Linked DNA regions of Notamacropus eugenii. The protein of the gene in region 2 purifies or fractionates together with the protein of the main gene of each other region. This does not show direct contact. Links are inferred from orthologs where the notes say so. Each region holds a gene or a part of one and is shown on either strand. Other genes may lie near its edges.

Region 1 (7,599 bases), about 47 Mb from region 2:
GGCAGGATCAAAGAAACACAGATAAAGGTCTTAGAGGTCACCCAATCTAAAACTTCTCAAAAAGGAAAAGAAGTCCCAAAGCGGTAAAAGTAAGTCCATCTCACAACTCTATAAAGAGGCAAAGAAAGGATTTGAATTCAGATCCCCCCAATTCCAAATATACTGCTTCTTTCAATGCACTATCCTGCCTTCCAAAATTGGGGGGGGGGGGCACAGACTCATGAAAGTGGCTGCAGGGGGATAGGATCTGGAAAGGGATACCGAGGTGGAGGTTTTAAAATCCTCAGGGTCTTTCCCCGTGTGTACCTTTATATGGCTCTTACAAGGCTTGCATGTTTTTTTTCCCACCAGAAGGTTATCTCCCTGAGCACTGGGTCCCAGTCTTTTGTGTTCCCTGCACTCAGTACAGTGCCTGGCCCATAGTAAGCTTTTAATACTTGTTGGCTGATTCAGGGGCAGGACAGTGGGTCAGAATCAGTTTTAGAACCTGGTCTAACCTCCATCCAAGTAAGGACAGGAAACCAAGCCTTGAGGGGGTCCAGTCACACAGCTCTTAAGCTCAAGACCTCGAGTTTGGATTCAGATCCCCCAAATCCACAAATAGCTTCACTATCCCCCCCTCTTCTCAGATGAAGGCAGAGGGCCCAGATTTGGGGGGCAAGGAGGAAATAGTGAGTGTTAAAGACTTTTGGGGACAAGATGTCAGATCAATGTGAAGTACAGCCCTCAAAGGCAAAGGGTAGGGGGTGGGAGGGGCTGTTAAAGACTAGGGAGGCAGGATGTCCATCACAGACCACAGGGTCTGCAGGCTGGATGTCCATCAGGGGAGTGTTGAGTGCTCCAGGGCAGGCTCTGCGCAAGGGGGGCACTGTGGGGCTGGACGTCCGGGGGGTGGCAGCTCTGCACAAGGGGGGCACTGGGGGTCAGGGCGTCCATGGGGGTGGCGGCTCTGCACAAGGGGGACACTGGGGGGGCAGGTCGTCCATGGGGGGGTGGCTCTGCACAAGGGGGGCAGGACATCCATGGGGGGGTTCCGCACCAGGGGGCAGGACGTCCATGGGGGTGGCTCTGCACAAGGGGGGCACTGGGGGGCAGGACGTCCAGGGGGGTGGCGGCTCTGCACAAGGGGGGCACGACATCCATGGGGGTGGCGGCTCTGCACAAGGGGGGCACTGGGGGGCAGGACGTCCATGGGGGCGGCTCTGCACAAGGGGGGCACTGGGGGGCAGGACGTCCATGGGGGCGGCTCTGCACAAGGGGGGCACTGGGAGGCAGGACGTCCATGGGGGCGGCTCTGCACAAGGGGGGCACTGGGGGGCAGGACGTCCAGGGGGGTGGCGGCTCTGCACAAGGGGGGCACTGGGGGGCAGGACGTCCATGGGGGCGGCTCTGCACAAGGGGGGCACTGGGGGGCTGGACGTCCATGGGGGCGGCTCTGCACAAGGGGGGCACTGGGAGGCAGGACGTCCATGGGGGCGGCTCTGCACAAGGGGGGCACTGGGGGGCAGGACGTCCATGGGGGCGGCTCTGCACAAGGGGGGCACTGGGGGGCTGGACGTCCATGGGGGCGGCTCTGCACAAGGGGGACACTGGGGGGCAGGACGTCCATGGGGGTGGCTCTGCACAAGGGGGGCACTGGGGGGCTGGACGTCCATCGGGGCGGCTCTGCACAAGGGGGGCACTGGGGGGCAGGACGTCCAGGGGGGCAGCTCTGCACAAGGGGGGCACTGGGGGGCAGGACGTCCAGGGGGGTGGCGGCTCTGCACAAGGGGGGCACTGGGGGGCAGGACATCCAGGGGGGCTGGCGGCTCTGCACAAGGGGGGCACTGGGGGGCAGGACGTCCAGGGGGGCTGGCGGCTCTGCACAAGGGGGGCACTGGGGGGCAGGACATCCAGGGGGGCTGGCGGCTCTGCACAAGGGGGGCACTGGGGGGCAGGACGTCCAGGGGGGTGGCGGCTCTGCACAAGGGGGGCAGGACATCCAGGGGGGCTGGCGGCTCTGCACAAGGGGGGCACTGGGGGGCAGGACGTCCAGGGGGGTGGCGGCTCTGCACAAGGGGGGCACTGGGGGGCTGGACGTCCATGGGGGCGGCTCTGCACAAGGGGGGCACTGGGGGGCTGGACGTCCATGGGGGCGGCTCTGCACAAGGGGGGTACTGGAGGGCAGGACGTCCATGGGGGTGGCTCTGCACAAGGGGGGCACTGGGGGGCAGGACGTCCATGGGGGTGGCTCTGCACAAGGGGGGTACTGGGGGGCAGGACGTCCATGGGGGCGGCTCTGCACAAGGGGGGTACTGGGGGGCAGGACGTCCATGGGGGTGGCTCTGCACAAGGGGGGCACTGGGGGGCTGGACGTCCATGGGGGTGGCTCTGCACAAGGGGGGCACTGGGGGGCTGGACGTCCATGGGGGTGGCGGCTCCGCACAAGGGGGGCACGACGCCCATGGGGGGGCTGCTGAGCCCGGCAGGGCGGAGCGGGGGGGAGGGCGGTGCTGCGGCCCTCGGGCTCACCTTGAGCAGCACGAAGAACTCGAAGACCCGGCGGAAAGCAGGCGGAAAGAGGCGCGAGTAGGTCACGGCCATCTTGAAGAAGAGCGCGTGGAAGAGGCGGTCGCGCACGTTGATGAGCGGGTTGGGGTTGGGGTTGAGGTTGGGGGTGCGCGCCCCGCGGGGGGTCCCGGCCCCGCCGCCTCCGGCCGCCGCCCCCCCGGGCCCGGGCCCAGCCCCGCCGGCCGAGTTGGCAGGGCCGCTGCCCGGGGCGTTCCCGGGGCCGGGCGGGGGCGGCGGCGGGTTCTCCGACATTCTGCTCTGGGCCGCCGGGGCGCTAACAGGCCGGGGCTCCCAGGGAAGGCGGCCCAGCCGCCATGGGGCCCCTCCTGGGCCGCGGCGCTCCCGCCGGGTGCTCGCCCTCGCCCCTGCCCCACGCTCCGGACGCCGCCGCTTCTCCTCCGGCCGCGCCGCCGCCTCCTCACAGGCGCCTACAGGCCGCCATTCGCCGCCTCAGTCGCCGCGACCCCGGCCCTGCTGACGAGACGGCTTCGCCCGCGGTGAATCCTGGGACGCTGGAGGAACAGCCCCGCCCTCCAGTCGGTTCCTCCGCCCTTCCCTCCCTCCCCCTCTCCGGCCCTCCCCTCCGTTCCCGGCCGCCCAGGCGGGGCCAAGCCAAGGCGTCTTTTGCATACTCTCCCGTGAGCCACCGCCGCACAAGCTTCGACTCGAAGTTTTGCAAATGCAACCGCATTTCTAGTGCAACACGAATAAAGTGGGAAAATTTTACTTTTCAATTATACGTTGAGTTCTTATTCTGAGACTGGCTTCATCTAGAGAAGAATAAAAAGAAAAATGATGTGTGGCAATACTAGTCATCCTAATCATAAAATAGATCTATTGTTCAGCCTTAAATAGCAGGAGCTAGCCCCTGATTTTCGTGCTCGCTTCGGCAGCACATATACTAAAATTGGAACGATACAGAGAAGATTAGCATGGCCCCTGCGCAAGGATGACACGCAAATTCGTGAAGCGTTCCATATTTTTTCAAACTCCTCCAAAGTTTTTCTGTAACGCCTGGCAGACGCGAGGGATTTCAGAGCTGGAAAGGGTCTTTGTTGGAGGTTGTATATATGTCTAAATATGTGTATATCTGTATGTGTTTATATATCTACACACGCTCACATTCGCTCGCTCTCATGTATAGGGAGGCCAGGAGCATTCAGCCTGTGTACAACTGAATGTGAAACGTAGCAACCTGTACCTGAAACCCCTGGACCAAAGCTTCCAGAGGAGGGTGGAAGGAGCATCCCTGTGCTCCAGGTGGCCTCCCTCTTTTATTGTCCTGTAAGAGGCAGCATAAGTGTAGTGAGATCAGGGCGGGGAAGGAAGAGGAAGAAACCTCAACACCCTGGAATGGAGGTAAAGTGGTGGACTTGAACCCCAGCTCAGCATTTACTAGTTGTATGCCTGAGGGCGAGTCACTGAACATTTCCTCACGCTCAATTTCACCATCTGTCAAATGGGGATAATAGTGTTCACCTCAAAGAGATCTTGCAAACACGCAGTTCAAGACACTTACTGTGTGTTGGTCCCGGATACAATCAATGGCTAAGCACCCACTATGCGCCAGGGGCTAGGATTGTTGTAACTGTTCAGTCGTTTTAGTTCTGTCGGTTCTGTCAGACCCATGATCCTTGTGGAGCTCTCTGGGAAAATCCATGGGATTTCCTTGGCAAAGATTCTCTGGGTTGTCAATAGAATTTTGAATGGAGTCCAGACTGGACCAGTCTCTAACCTGGGCATGGCCAGAGGAGCTAGAGGCAGATGTGTCCGGATACAAAGTAGCGGTATAATTTATTTCAGAGTGAGGAAAATGACTTGCATCCAAGGAAGCCCCGCTCCTGACGAGGGTCTAACATGTTGGGGTACAGGCAATGTTTATATACATGTGGACTGGGCTATGATATAATCATTTTTAGGTCTTGCGTTATTGTTCCTAGGGGTCCTATAGAAACGTTATTGTCCCAAGTCTTGGGGATCATGATTATTCTATGGGGTACAGAACCAGAATTCTGTGACAAGGACAGGGATTGTGAGCATGTCAGAGACGTGGTAGATATTGGCTCTCAGGTCACTGGGAAATAGAAGGATTGAAGACCTGGTGCAATACATTTTGCCAGAGGGTGAGATCATCCAGAGTGCAAAAGATTATTGTTGTCAAGGTCAGGACACAGCCTGTTTGCTGGCCCTTAGCTCTGGGAAACAAGGTATCTCCAAAATGTTTTAACAAAGTTTTACAAGGCCAAAACCCAAAGTCTGGTCAATAGCCCTTTATGTCAGTCCCCTGAGGACCAACATAGCTAACTTCTGAGAGGCTCATCACCAGACTTGACAAGATAGTGATGAGACCTTAGCCAACTCCTGAAGATCAACTAGTAAAGGGGTTGTCCCAGTGGGATACTGGAAAGTATATTGGATTTAGAAATGGAAGGTTTAGCTTCACAATCTTGACTGCCACTTACAAGCTCTCTGATTTGGGGAAAGTCACTTTAACCTCCCTGGGCCTCAGTTTCCCTATCTATAAAATGAGGGGTTGCACTAAATGGTCTCTGCTGAGAACTCTTTCAACCCCAAATTCTATGAATTCATGGATCACTGAAGTGATGTTGCCAACCAGACACTGAAGGAAGAAGAAGCTCTTGGGCATCTTGCCAACCAACTACATACTAGAAGGCTCCAAATTCTTGAGGAAGAAGACATTGACCCAGGAAGAAACCAGGCTGGGGACAAATCTGGGATTCTGGAAGAGTAGATTTTTCCTGGGCCCTCTCCCATAAGTCACTGATAGCATTTCAAGACAGAAAAGATCCTCACAAAACATCTAGTCCAATTCTCTCACTTTGCATGGAATGGAGGACATAAACTTTTGTGGCCTCTGCAAGGAAGGAGCCAGCTGTCTGTATTTCCAGTGCCATCTTGAGGCTACTCCAAACCTCAGGGTAATTTGCATGACCTAGGAATTAAGAAGCCTCTTGATGAGGGTGAAAGAAGAGAGTAGAAAAGCTGGCTTGGACCTTAACATTAAAAAAAAAACAACCCTAAGATCTTGGTGATTGATTCCATCACTTCCTGGCAAATAGAAGGAGAAGAAATGGAAACAGCGTCAGATTTTATAATCTTGGGCTCATGATCACTGCAGATGGTAACTGCAGCCATAAAATGACCCTTGTTCCTTGGAAGGAAAGCTGGACAACATACTCAAAAGCTGACAAAGGTCCATATGGTCAAAGCTATCGTTTCTCTAGTGGCAATATATGGCTGTGAGAGCTGGACTATATACAGAAAGCTGAGTGCTGCAGAATCAATGCTTTCAAACTGTGGTGCTGAGGAAGACTTTTGAGTCCCTTCGACGACAAGAAATCAAGCCAGTCAATATTTAAGGAAATTAATTGAAGCGATTCCTTGGAAGTCAAATACCAAAGCTGAAGCTTAAATACTTTGGTCACATAATGGGAAGATGGGACTCACTGGAAAAAACTCTGAAGTTGGGAAAGATTGAAGGTGAAAGGAAAGGGGGATGAAAGAGGATGAGATGGACAAATAATATCATAGGAACAACAAACATGAACTTGGGTAGACTTGGAGAAGTAGTGGAGGATGGAAGGGCTATGGCTATGGTCCAGAAGGTCATGAAGAGTCAGATACAGACTGAATGACTGAACAATTACTGCAAAAGGGAAGAAAATGGGAGAGAAGGAATGAAAAAATGGCAAGTAGAAAGCAGTAAGAGTGCTTTTCCAGGAGGAAAAGGACTAAGTGAGAGGCTAAAGAAAGGAAGGAGTGAATGGAATTTAGTTGCCCTAAGAGTGAGGGCTGGGGACCTTCAGTTGAATAAAGCTAGTTAGAGATCCTCACAACCAGCCTTGGGAAGGTTGTGGGCCTAATAAAGAGATGTGTTAACTGGCCCAGAAGTCTATTTATCCTAGCCTGTTTTGAGGTGATGCTTTAGAGGAAGGCAGAGGCACAGAAAGCAATTGTAACAACCAATCATCTATGACTTTAAGGTTCAAATTTTCTCATTTCATTCTTATATGTTTGGGAGCCCCATGACAGCCTTGTATAAACTGCATCCCTTCCTTACCTTCCCAGATTCTAAAGTCTTGAAGAGATCTCCAGTGGACCAAACCATGTAGGCTAGGCTACAGCTTCCCCTGAAAGGCATGGAAGTTGTCCTTGAGATCTGATTGGTCCAATGGGTTAAGGCTCAAGTTGTTGATAGGTCTTCCAATCAACTAGGGATATAAAGGATCTAGAGTTTAAAGACACTTCAGAGGCCATTAAAGAGAACTCCATCAAAACCCTTCATATTTGTTCTAGTCAACTCATGACATAGTGGATAGAGTGCTGGACCTGGAATCAGGAAGACCGGAATTCAAATCTAACCTCAGATACTTACTAGCTCTGTGACCCTGGGTAAATCATTTAATCTCTGTCTGCTCCGATTTTCTCAGCTGTAAATTGGAAATAATAATAGCATTTATCTCCCAGGATTGTAGTGAAGATCCAATGAGATAATGTTGTTAAAAGTTGAAAATACCAATACAGCTGTAACTGGTGCCTCAAAGTCCATTTTACAGATGAGGAAATTAAGATTAGAATGAGGAGGTTGGATCAGATGACCTTTAATGATCCTATGATCCTTCATGACCTCACTGGAGCATTTGACACTGCCTACCACACCCTCCTACTTTCTTCTCACTTGGTTTCTATGACCTAGCTCTCTTCATATCAGAAGAACACAGGTTTTTCTCCTGTCTTTCTGACTATTCCTTCTTAGCCTCCTTTTCTGGATCATTGTCCAAGTCCAATTCCCTTAATGTGGGTGAACCCCAAGGCTCTATCCAGAGCTATTATCTTTTCTTTCTTTATACTTTCTCTTGATGACCTCATCCAGTCCCATCCATTTATTCATCTTCTCTTTGCATCTTACTGATGTTTTAAAATTATGTTTATGGAGAAGGAGGAGCCAAAATGGCAGAGTACAAGGATGGACCTGCTCTAACTCTACCCCCATAGCCCATAAAATACCTGTAAAAAATGACTCCAAGC
Region 2 (7,536 bases):
CCCAGCTATATCACTGAAGCTCTTAATATGTATTATATAATATGGATTGTATATAGATTATTCTTAGGAAGATTTCTGTAGATGTAGACTAGTAGGCATATGATCAGTAATTGATAATCTTTTCAATTATTCTTCCTGGGGTAGTAATATTATCTAATTTTTCCCCAAGCATTTGGTATCCTTCCCAACTTTCAGATATGCTGAGAAAGATACTTCAATGCCCACAAAAACGTTGCCTCTGTGTGGATGGATATTCTCTGTGCCTATCTGGTGCAGCTCCTGTCTAGTACCATTAGCTTGTTATCTGTTCCTCACATAACACATTAAGGGCTGTGATATTCAGGGTCTGTGTGTGTGTTTGTCCTTTGTTGCCGAAGAAGACCATGCCATCAGAGAAATAATGACATGACTTGCATTTGACTTTGTTTTGATTGAGGGAGGGCTGTGCAGGTCACCAGCCTCACTTCTCCTCCACAGCCATCTGAATCCAGTGACCAGATATTCATCAGGATGACTGGAGATGACCCAGGATGAGGCAGTTGGGGTTAAGTGACTTGCCCAGGGTCACACAGCTAGTGAGTGTCAAGTGTCTGAGGTGAGATTTGAACTCAGGTCCTCCTGACTCCTGCACTGGTGCTCTATCCACTGCACCACCTAGCTGCCCCTTATTCAGGGTCTAAAATGGGAAGAGAGACAGCTAGCTGAGTGATCCTAGACAAGTCCCTTAACCCTGTTTGCCTCAGTCTGTAAAATGGAGAGAGTAAGAGCCCCTCTTTCCCAGGGTGGTTGTGAGGATCAAACTGAGATCATGTGTAAAGTGCCCGGCACACAGTGAGGGGGACAGAAATGTTAGTGCTATCATTATTATTTCCAAGTTCAGTGTCTCGGTAGTTTGTTAAAGAGCCCGCTCTGTTTGGCCTCTCTCCATGTTTCATCCTTCAAGACTGTTTCTCTCTCTGTTCCTCTCCCCAGGCTTGCCCACCTCTGGCTTCCGGATTTCTTTGCATATATTCTTAATTCACAACGATATTCCACTCCCTCATTTGTCTCTTATTCCTTCTGAGTAAGGCACATCCTTCTGGACCGACTTGGTGAGTCTTTTCCCACCAAATCTCAGTGGTCAAACTTGTCACCTTTCCTTAGGATTTCTCATTTTCTGTGCTTGTTACCCCTGAGGAGAACCCTTAAGGTAAAAAATGCTGCCATTTAAAAAATCTTTACACCTCGCATGCCTAGCATAGTGCCTTCCATGTAAAAAAGAGCTTAATAAGGAGTCGTCAGGGCGCCTTATACAATGACAATCCTCTAGTCTCCCAGGCTCCTTCCTCTCCTCCCCGGCCCATCATTCACACAGCTCCCAAAGACTCTTCCCACTGCTCAGGTGTGACCATACCACTCCTCTACTCAAAAGCTTTCACTGCCCTCAATTTCCTTTAGGAACAATTCAATTTAAAGGGGACATAGAGACAAACGACAAAACGGTCCTTGCTCTCCCAGGATATGGTTGATCAAAGATAACAACATGTACAAAGATAAGTAGGCAGATACAGAAACAGAAAAAAGTAAGCACAAAGTACTTTGGGGTGGCAGGAGGGCACCCCAACAAGAGGCGCCAGGCATCGGTTTGGGAAAGGCACCAGAGCCAAACTGGAATCAAACCAGGGACGAGACTGAGGAGACTGGAAACATGGTGGTGCCTTCCCCGGAAATGGGCAAGCTCAAGAGTCCTGGTCAGCGGGACAGACAGACTCGGTTCTGGGCAGACTGCATGGGGGACAGCGTGGGATCCAGATTTCTCTAGTGGGGAGCTGGCACCAGGGATGGGTGTGTGGGAGAAGCAAGAGTGAACAAAGCACGGGAGGCTTTGAAGAGCCTCCTTCCACAGCGCTCTGCCCGACCTTCCCACTCTGACAGCCCTCCCTCCCCTTCCTTCATGCTGGGTGCCAGCTGGACCTCCTGGAATGCCCCTGCCCTCTCCCCTGCCTATGAAGCTGCTGCCAAGGGGCCCAACCCTGGGACCGTGCCTCCTCCTTTCCACAATCCCTTCCTCCACAGATCCCGGAGAACTTTGCCCGTGCCACTCCCGGGCTGGGGGGTGGGGCCCCTCCCTCTGCACCCCCAGAGCCTGGCACAGCGCTAAGTCTCAGAGAACCCGGGCAGGGGCGGGCGCTGCCCCTCGGCCCAGCCTGCAGCGCCTGGCACCCGGAGGGCCGGCTCGCGGGAACACTTCATGCCCATCTGGCAGACCGGGGCCGAGGTGCCCCGCTCCTGATGGCCGAGCTCTGCGTCACGTCCGCACTGACCGCAGCAGGAGCCAGACCCCCCAGGGAGGTCAGCGACGCGGCCACGGGCTACCAGGCCAGGAGAGAGCCCTGCGGGAGGGGATCGAGCATCACCGGGGAAGCAGGAAACAGTGCCCAAGGAGGGGAGGGGGCGTCTTGTCCTTGCGACTGCGCAGTGGCATGAGGGCCACAAGTTCAGAAGGGGCCAAGTTTCATACAGCGCATGCGCAAGCAGAATCAAAAGAGTTCCGGAACCGAGGTTCTCAGCGCTTACTCTGTTAGGGCGCATGCGCAAGCGGAGTTAAACGTGTACAAGAAGGCACGTCGTCACCACGGCAGCCAGTGCCCCTGATCTATGGCGCATGCGCAGCTTCGGGTTAAGCCATTCTAGTCAACGCCTCTCTTCTCAGCGCGCCTGCGCACTGGAAAGTTATGGGGGGCGTGTCACGGACCCAGACAGTTCACGAACGAGGCCCCCCCAACCTCCTATGGCGCATGCCCAGTAGTAGGTGGAAGGCGCGTTACGTCCCGAAGAGTCAGACCCCCACCTTCCCTTCCCTGCCACGGCGCCTGCGCAGCCGCAACCAGACCCTGAGAGGAGGTCCCAGCCCGCTCCCTCCCCGTCCCCCAATCCAAAAGCAGGCCCGCACCCTCAGGGAGTGCAAGCGGCCCCGGAGCGCCGAGGGCCACGGACCGCCGAGGTACCTCAGCGCGCGCTCCCTCGCTCCGTCCACCGCCCGTCACGTCAGTCAGGCTCCGGCTGCGGCGGCTCCGGAGCCTCCTCCGCGGGATCCCGTCACCTGACGCAGGGGATGGGGCCTACGCGAAGGCACTTCCGGTCCGCACCCGGAAGGGAACGGCGGGCACTGTGGGCGGGGACACCTTCGACCAGACGACCAAGGTTCCGCCCGCGGGCGAGGCACGTGGGATGCGGAAGGAAGAAGGATAAGCCCTGAATGTCAGGACTGGAGGGGCCTCAGACCAGGGGGGGTCAGGACCGGAGGGGCCTGAGAACAGGGGGTGTCAGGACCGGAGGGGCCTCAGACCAGGGTGGGTCAGGACTGGAGGGGCCTCAGACCAGGGGGGTCAGGGCCGGGAGGGGCCTCAGACCAGGGGGTGTCAGGACCGGGAGGGGCCTCAGACCAGGGGGATCAGGGCCGGGAGGGGCCTGAGAACGGGGGGGGGGTCAGGGCCGGGAGGGGCCACAGACCAGGGGGGGTCAGGACTGGAGGGGCCTCAGACCGGGGGGGTCAGGGCCGGGAGGGGCCTCAGACCAGGGTGGGTCAGGATTGGAGGGGCCTCAGACCAGGGGGGGGGCCTCAGACCAGGGCGGGGCTGGGCTGGGGGGGGCCTCAGACCAGGGGGGGGCTGGGCTGGGGGGGGGCCTCAGACCAGGGCGGGGCTGGGCTGGGGGGGGGCCTCAGACCAGGGCGGGTCAGGACTGGAGGGGCCTCAGACCAGGGGGGGGCTGGGCTGGGGGGGTGCCTGAGAACCAAGGTTGAAGAGGTAGGTGAAAGTTAGATTCAGGAAGACTTCAGATAACAGTTTGAGGAGTTTGCCTGTGATTTTAGAGGCAGTAGTGAACTCTCAGAGGCTTCTGAACAAGGGGGTGACGTGGTCAGACACGTCTTAGGAAGATTATTGTTGTGGCTTTGAGGAAGATGACCTAAGGGAGGGCACAAGCTGAAGGTGAGAGCAGCTCTCTGGAAGGCAGTGCCATGTCCAGGCAAGGCTGAGGCCTTGCCCTAGGGATCCTTCATCTCTCTTGTGGAGCTGTCAGCTGAGTCTGGGGGGAGGAGGCAGAGGCCAGCAGAAGAGCCTTTGACCCCAGCCTGAGAACAACTGCCCTACCCAGAAAGGCATGGCAGGTGGATTCGACTGGTGCTGGGTATGAGCGATGCAGAAAGGCAGCACCACGGCTTCGGCCCCCAGGGAGCGCACGTTCTAATGCAGGAGACCCCAAGAAAACAGCTTTATACTTGTGAGCTCCACATGGTATCACTGGGAGGCAGTCAGAGTGAAGGCGCATTCAGTGGATGGGGTCCCAGGAAAGCCTCCAGGAGCTGAGTCTTACAGGAAGCCACAGACTGTAACGGTAATTTAAGGTTAATGGTGAGTGGGGGGAAGAGTTAAAGATCTCCCCCTCCCATTAATAGGCCTCAGTCCCTTTTGTTAATCTCTGTTGAGGGTCCTGCCCTGGGCTCTGAGGTGAGGCTTAGCGTTTGGGAGAAGGTTGGTGTGCTAGGTGAGACTCTGGGCAGCTGCTGAGGAGCCCCTCCCCTTGGAAAGCCCAGATGTTGGTGATTTAGTGCTCACGGTCAGACAGTTGGAAGCTCTGTCTGTTGGTCTTGGTTTCTCTGAAGTTCAGGGGGCTGACTCTTTCGTCTGAACTAAGTGAATGATACATGTGCCTGATTAAAGTAGATTGCTGACTCCTCTTTTCAGAATAGCAGATCTGAGAACCTGTAGAGCAGGCCCTCCTGTGGGTGCCGGGGTCCTTGCTGTTACAAAGCCAGTGAAAGCATGGAGCTGGCAGTGTTTTGTACAAGGGATGGTGAGAAAGGTGGGAACAAGCCTTTATGAGGCACCTGCTGCGTGCCAGGCACTGTTCTCAGCCTTTTGCAACAATGACCTCATTTAATCTTTGCAGCCCTTGGGTGATACATGTTACAGTTACCCTCATTTTACAGTTAAGGAATCTAAAGTAAACTTTAGGCTAAATGACTTGTGCGGGGTCCCACAGCTAGTAAGTGTCTGGGGCTGGATTTGACTCCAGACCAACGCTCTGTCCGCTGTGGTATCCCCCTTGCTTCCTCTGGGCCAGTGCTGCTGGGGCATACAGCCCCAATTCAGGAATTGAAGCTAAAAAGATGAGTGCATTTGCCAACCTAATTCTATAATGACTGCCAACAGACTCAGAGGAAAGATGCATATTCCACAAGGTCTCTATGAATACTTACAAGAAATGAAATGAGATTTGAAAGTGAAATAAAAGCTGTAATCTAGAGGAAAGATCCCACCTTCCCTATTACTGTTGAGGATACCACTCTCTTCCCAGTCCCCCAAGGTCACAATCTAGGGGTCATCCTGGACTCCTCATGCCCTCTCCCCCCACATCCAATATGGTGCCAAGGCCTGTGGATTTTACCTGTGCAGTATTCCTTGTATGTCTCACCCCTGCATAATACTCACCCTTCTCCCCTCTGACACTGCCCCCACTCTGGTGGATTATTGCAGTAGCTGCTGGGAAGTCTGTCTGTCTCCAGTCTCTCCCTACTCCAATCCACCCTCCATCAGCTAAAGTGATTTTCCTAAAACCTACGTCTGATCACGTTGCTCTCCTAGAACTCAAGTTCCTGGGGCTCCCTGTTGCCTTCAGCAACAAAGACCAAATGCTGTTTGACATTCAAAGCCCTTTGTAACCTGGTTTCCTCCTACCTTTCCAGTCTTATACCTTCATCCTGGACAGGACAGTGGCCTTGGTTCCATTTCTTAGCTCTGTGCATTTTCTCTGACTGTCATTCATACCTGGAATGTTCTTCCTCCTCATCGTTATTCACTGATTTCCCTGGTTTCCTTTAAGCCTCTACCAAAAGCCTGTCTTCCACAGGAAGCCTTCCCCAACGTCTCTTCAGTCTAGTGTCTTCCCTTTGTTAATTATTTCCTATTCATCCTGTATATAGTTTGCTTGGTGTAGATTTGTTTGCACGTCGTCTCCCCCTTTAGATTGTAAATTCCTTGAGGGCAGGGACTGTCTTTTGTCTCTTTTTGCATCTTCAGTGCTTAGCACTGTGCCTGGCACATAGTAGGTACTTAATAAATGTTTATTGATTGAAGTAGCTTGGAAGGGAAAGTGATAAACCTTATTCAAGAAATGGGTGCCCTGAAAACTAGAGAATAGACCAACAAAGCAAGGATTTTATGAGACAGCAAGAAATAGTAGGGAAAAAATTGAGATTGAAAAAGAGAAAATATAAGATATCTGATTTTTTAAAAAAACTGACCTGGAAAAGGTCAAGGGAGATAATGTCAGGCATTGTCTTATGTAAAAACCATTATTTAAAAAAATTAAGTGCTGGACATTATATTTTAAAAAACCATAAAAGAAAACTTCTAACGTGTTAGAACCAGAAAACAAAGTCAGTAAAGATACAAAGAATCCACTGTTTAATTCCTGAAAGGAACCCAAAAGGGAAGAATCCCAGAAATGTCCCAGTCAATACCTAGAGCCCCCATGTCAAAGAAAAATTGCTACAAGCCTCCAGGAAGAAGTTTGGGGAATGAGTCAGGATCATACAAGACCTGGCAGCTTCTACTAAAAATGAACAGCGATCATGTAATTCAATATTCCAAAAGGCAGAAGAAGCATCTTAGAACTGAGAATAACTTGCCCTGCAAATCTGAGCATAAAAAACTACAGGGAAAGAAAAGCAGACCTTTCACGGAATAGAAACGTGATGAACAGCTCAAATAGAAAGGAACCAATCAATCCCTACCAAGTCACACAAATTAACATTATCCACATTGCGTTTTTATTTATTTTGTTAAACATTTTCCAGTAAAATACAACCCAGTTCAGCGTCATTCAGGAGTTTTGTGGGCTCACTGGCCACAAATTGGACACCTTTAGAATAGAGAATGCTCAGGTATTTCTGATGAAGAGCAACACTGAGGGAATTGAAATAGAAACTTTAGAAAGGTAACATCAACCATTTATTAAGCAATTACCATGTGCCAGGTACTGTGCTAAGTACTGGAAATAAAAATACAAGAAGAAAGGGAGGTACAGTTATCCTTTCCCCATCACAATTTCAGTATATTGCAGGTTGGCATAAGAAATTAAATGGGAATTTGGGGGGAGTTTTGTGGAAGCAGCAGATGACAGAAAAGGTTTAGAAACTCAGAAATAATAAAATATATGTATAGTATTATATAATGGCAACATATTTTATCTTTTAATACCTTAATAATTTAGACTTCTTCTCTGGCATGAAAGGAGGGCCACAGAATTTTATGTTGCTTTTCCAGATCCCTAGCACTGTGCTAGTGAAAGGGGTAACTGTATTCCCTGACTTCACATAGCTTACATTCTGGTTTTGAGAGAAGACAACAAACTGAAGGGAGCCAAAGATGAGGGTGGAATAGATGGCGTCCAAGTCCAGAGGGCCAGGAGTGAGGCAGCCAACACAGCTGGCCTGGGCACTTCCTTGAAATGGAGGGTCTGGGAAGAATTCATCAATGGGAGGAGGCAGGC

What was found.
Region 1: the proteins of RNF185 (region 2) and TMEM259 purify together in Homo sapiens (affinity purification with mass spectrometry; 3 studies listed by BioGRID and IntAct, counting the BioPlex papers as one, with this or other methods). This does not show direct contact. The link is inferred for Notamacropus eugenii from reciprocal best matches to the Homo sapiens genes RNF185 and TMEM259.

Annotation. Positions count from the first base shown.
Region 1 is NC_092875.1:61,373,548-61,381,146, forward strand, and holds the start of TMEM259 (membralin), read right to left. Parts: upstream 3,061-7,599; 5' UTR 2,803-3,060; coding exon 2,512-2,802; intron 1-2,511. UniProt on the Homo sapiens protein: May have a role in the ERAD pathway required for clearance of misfolded proteins in the endoplasmic reticulum (ER). Promotes survival of motor neurons, probably by protecting against ER stress.
Region 2 is NC_092875.1:13,959,869-13,967,404, forward strand, and holds the start of RNF185 (E3 ubiquitin-protein ligase RNF185), read right to left. Parts: upstream 3,078-7,536; 5' UTR 2,988-3,077; exon of another isoform or gene 2,933-2,987; intron 1-2,932. UniProt on the Homo sapiens protein: E3 ubiquitin-protein ligase that regulates selective mitochondrial autophagy by mediating 'Lys-63'-linked polyubiquitination of BNIP1.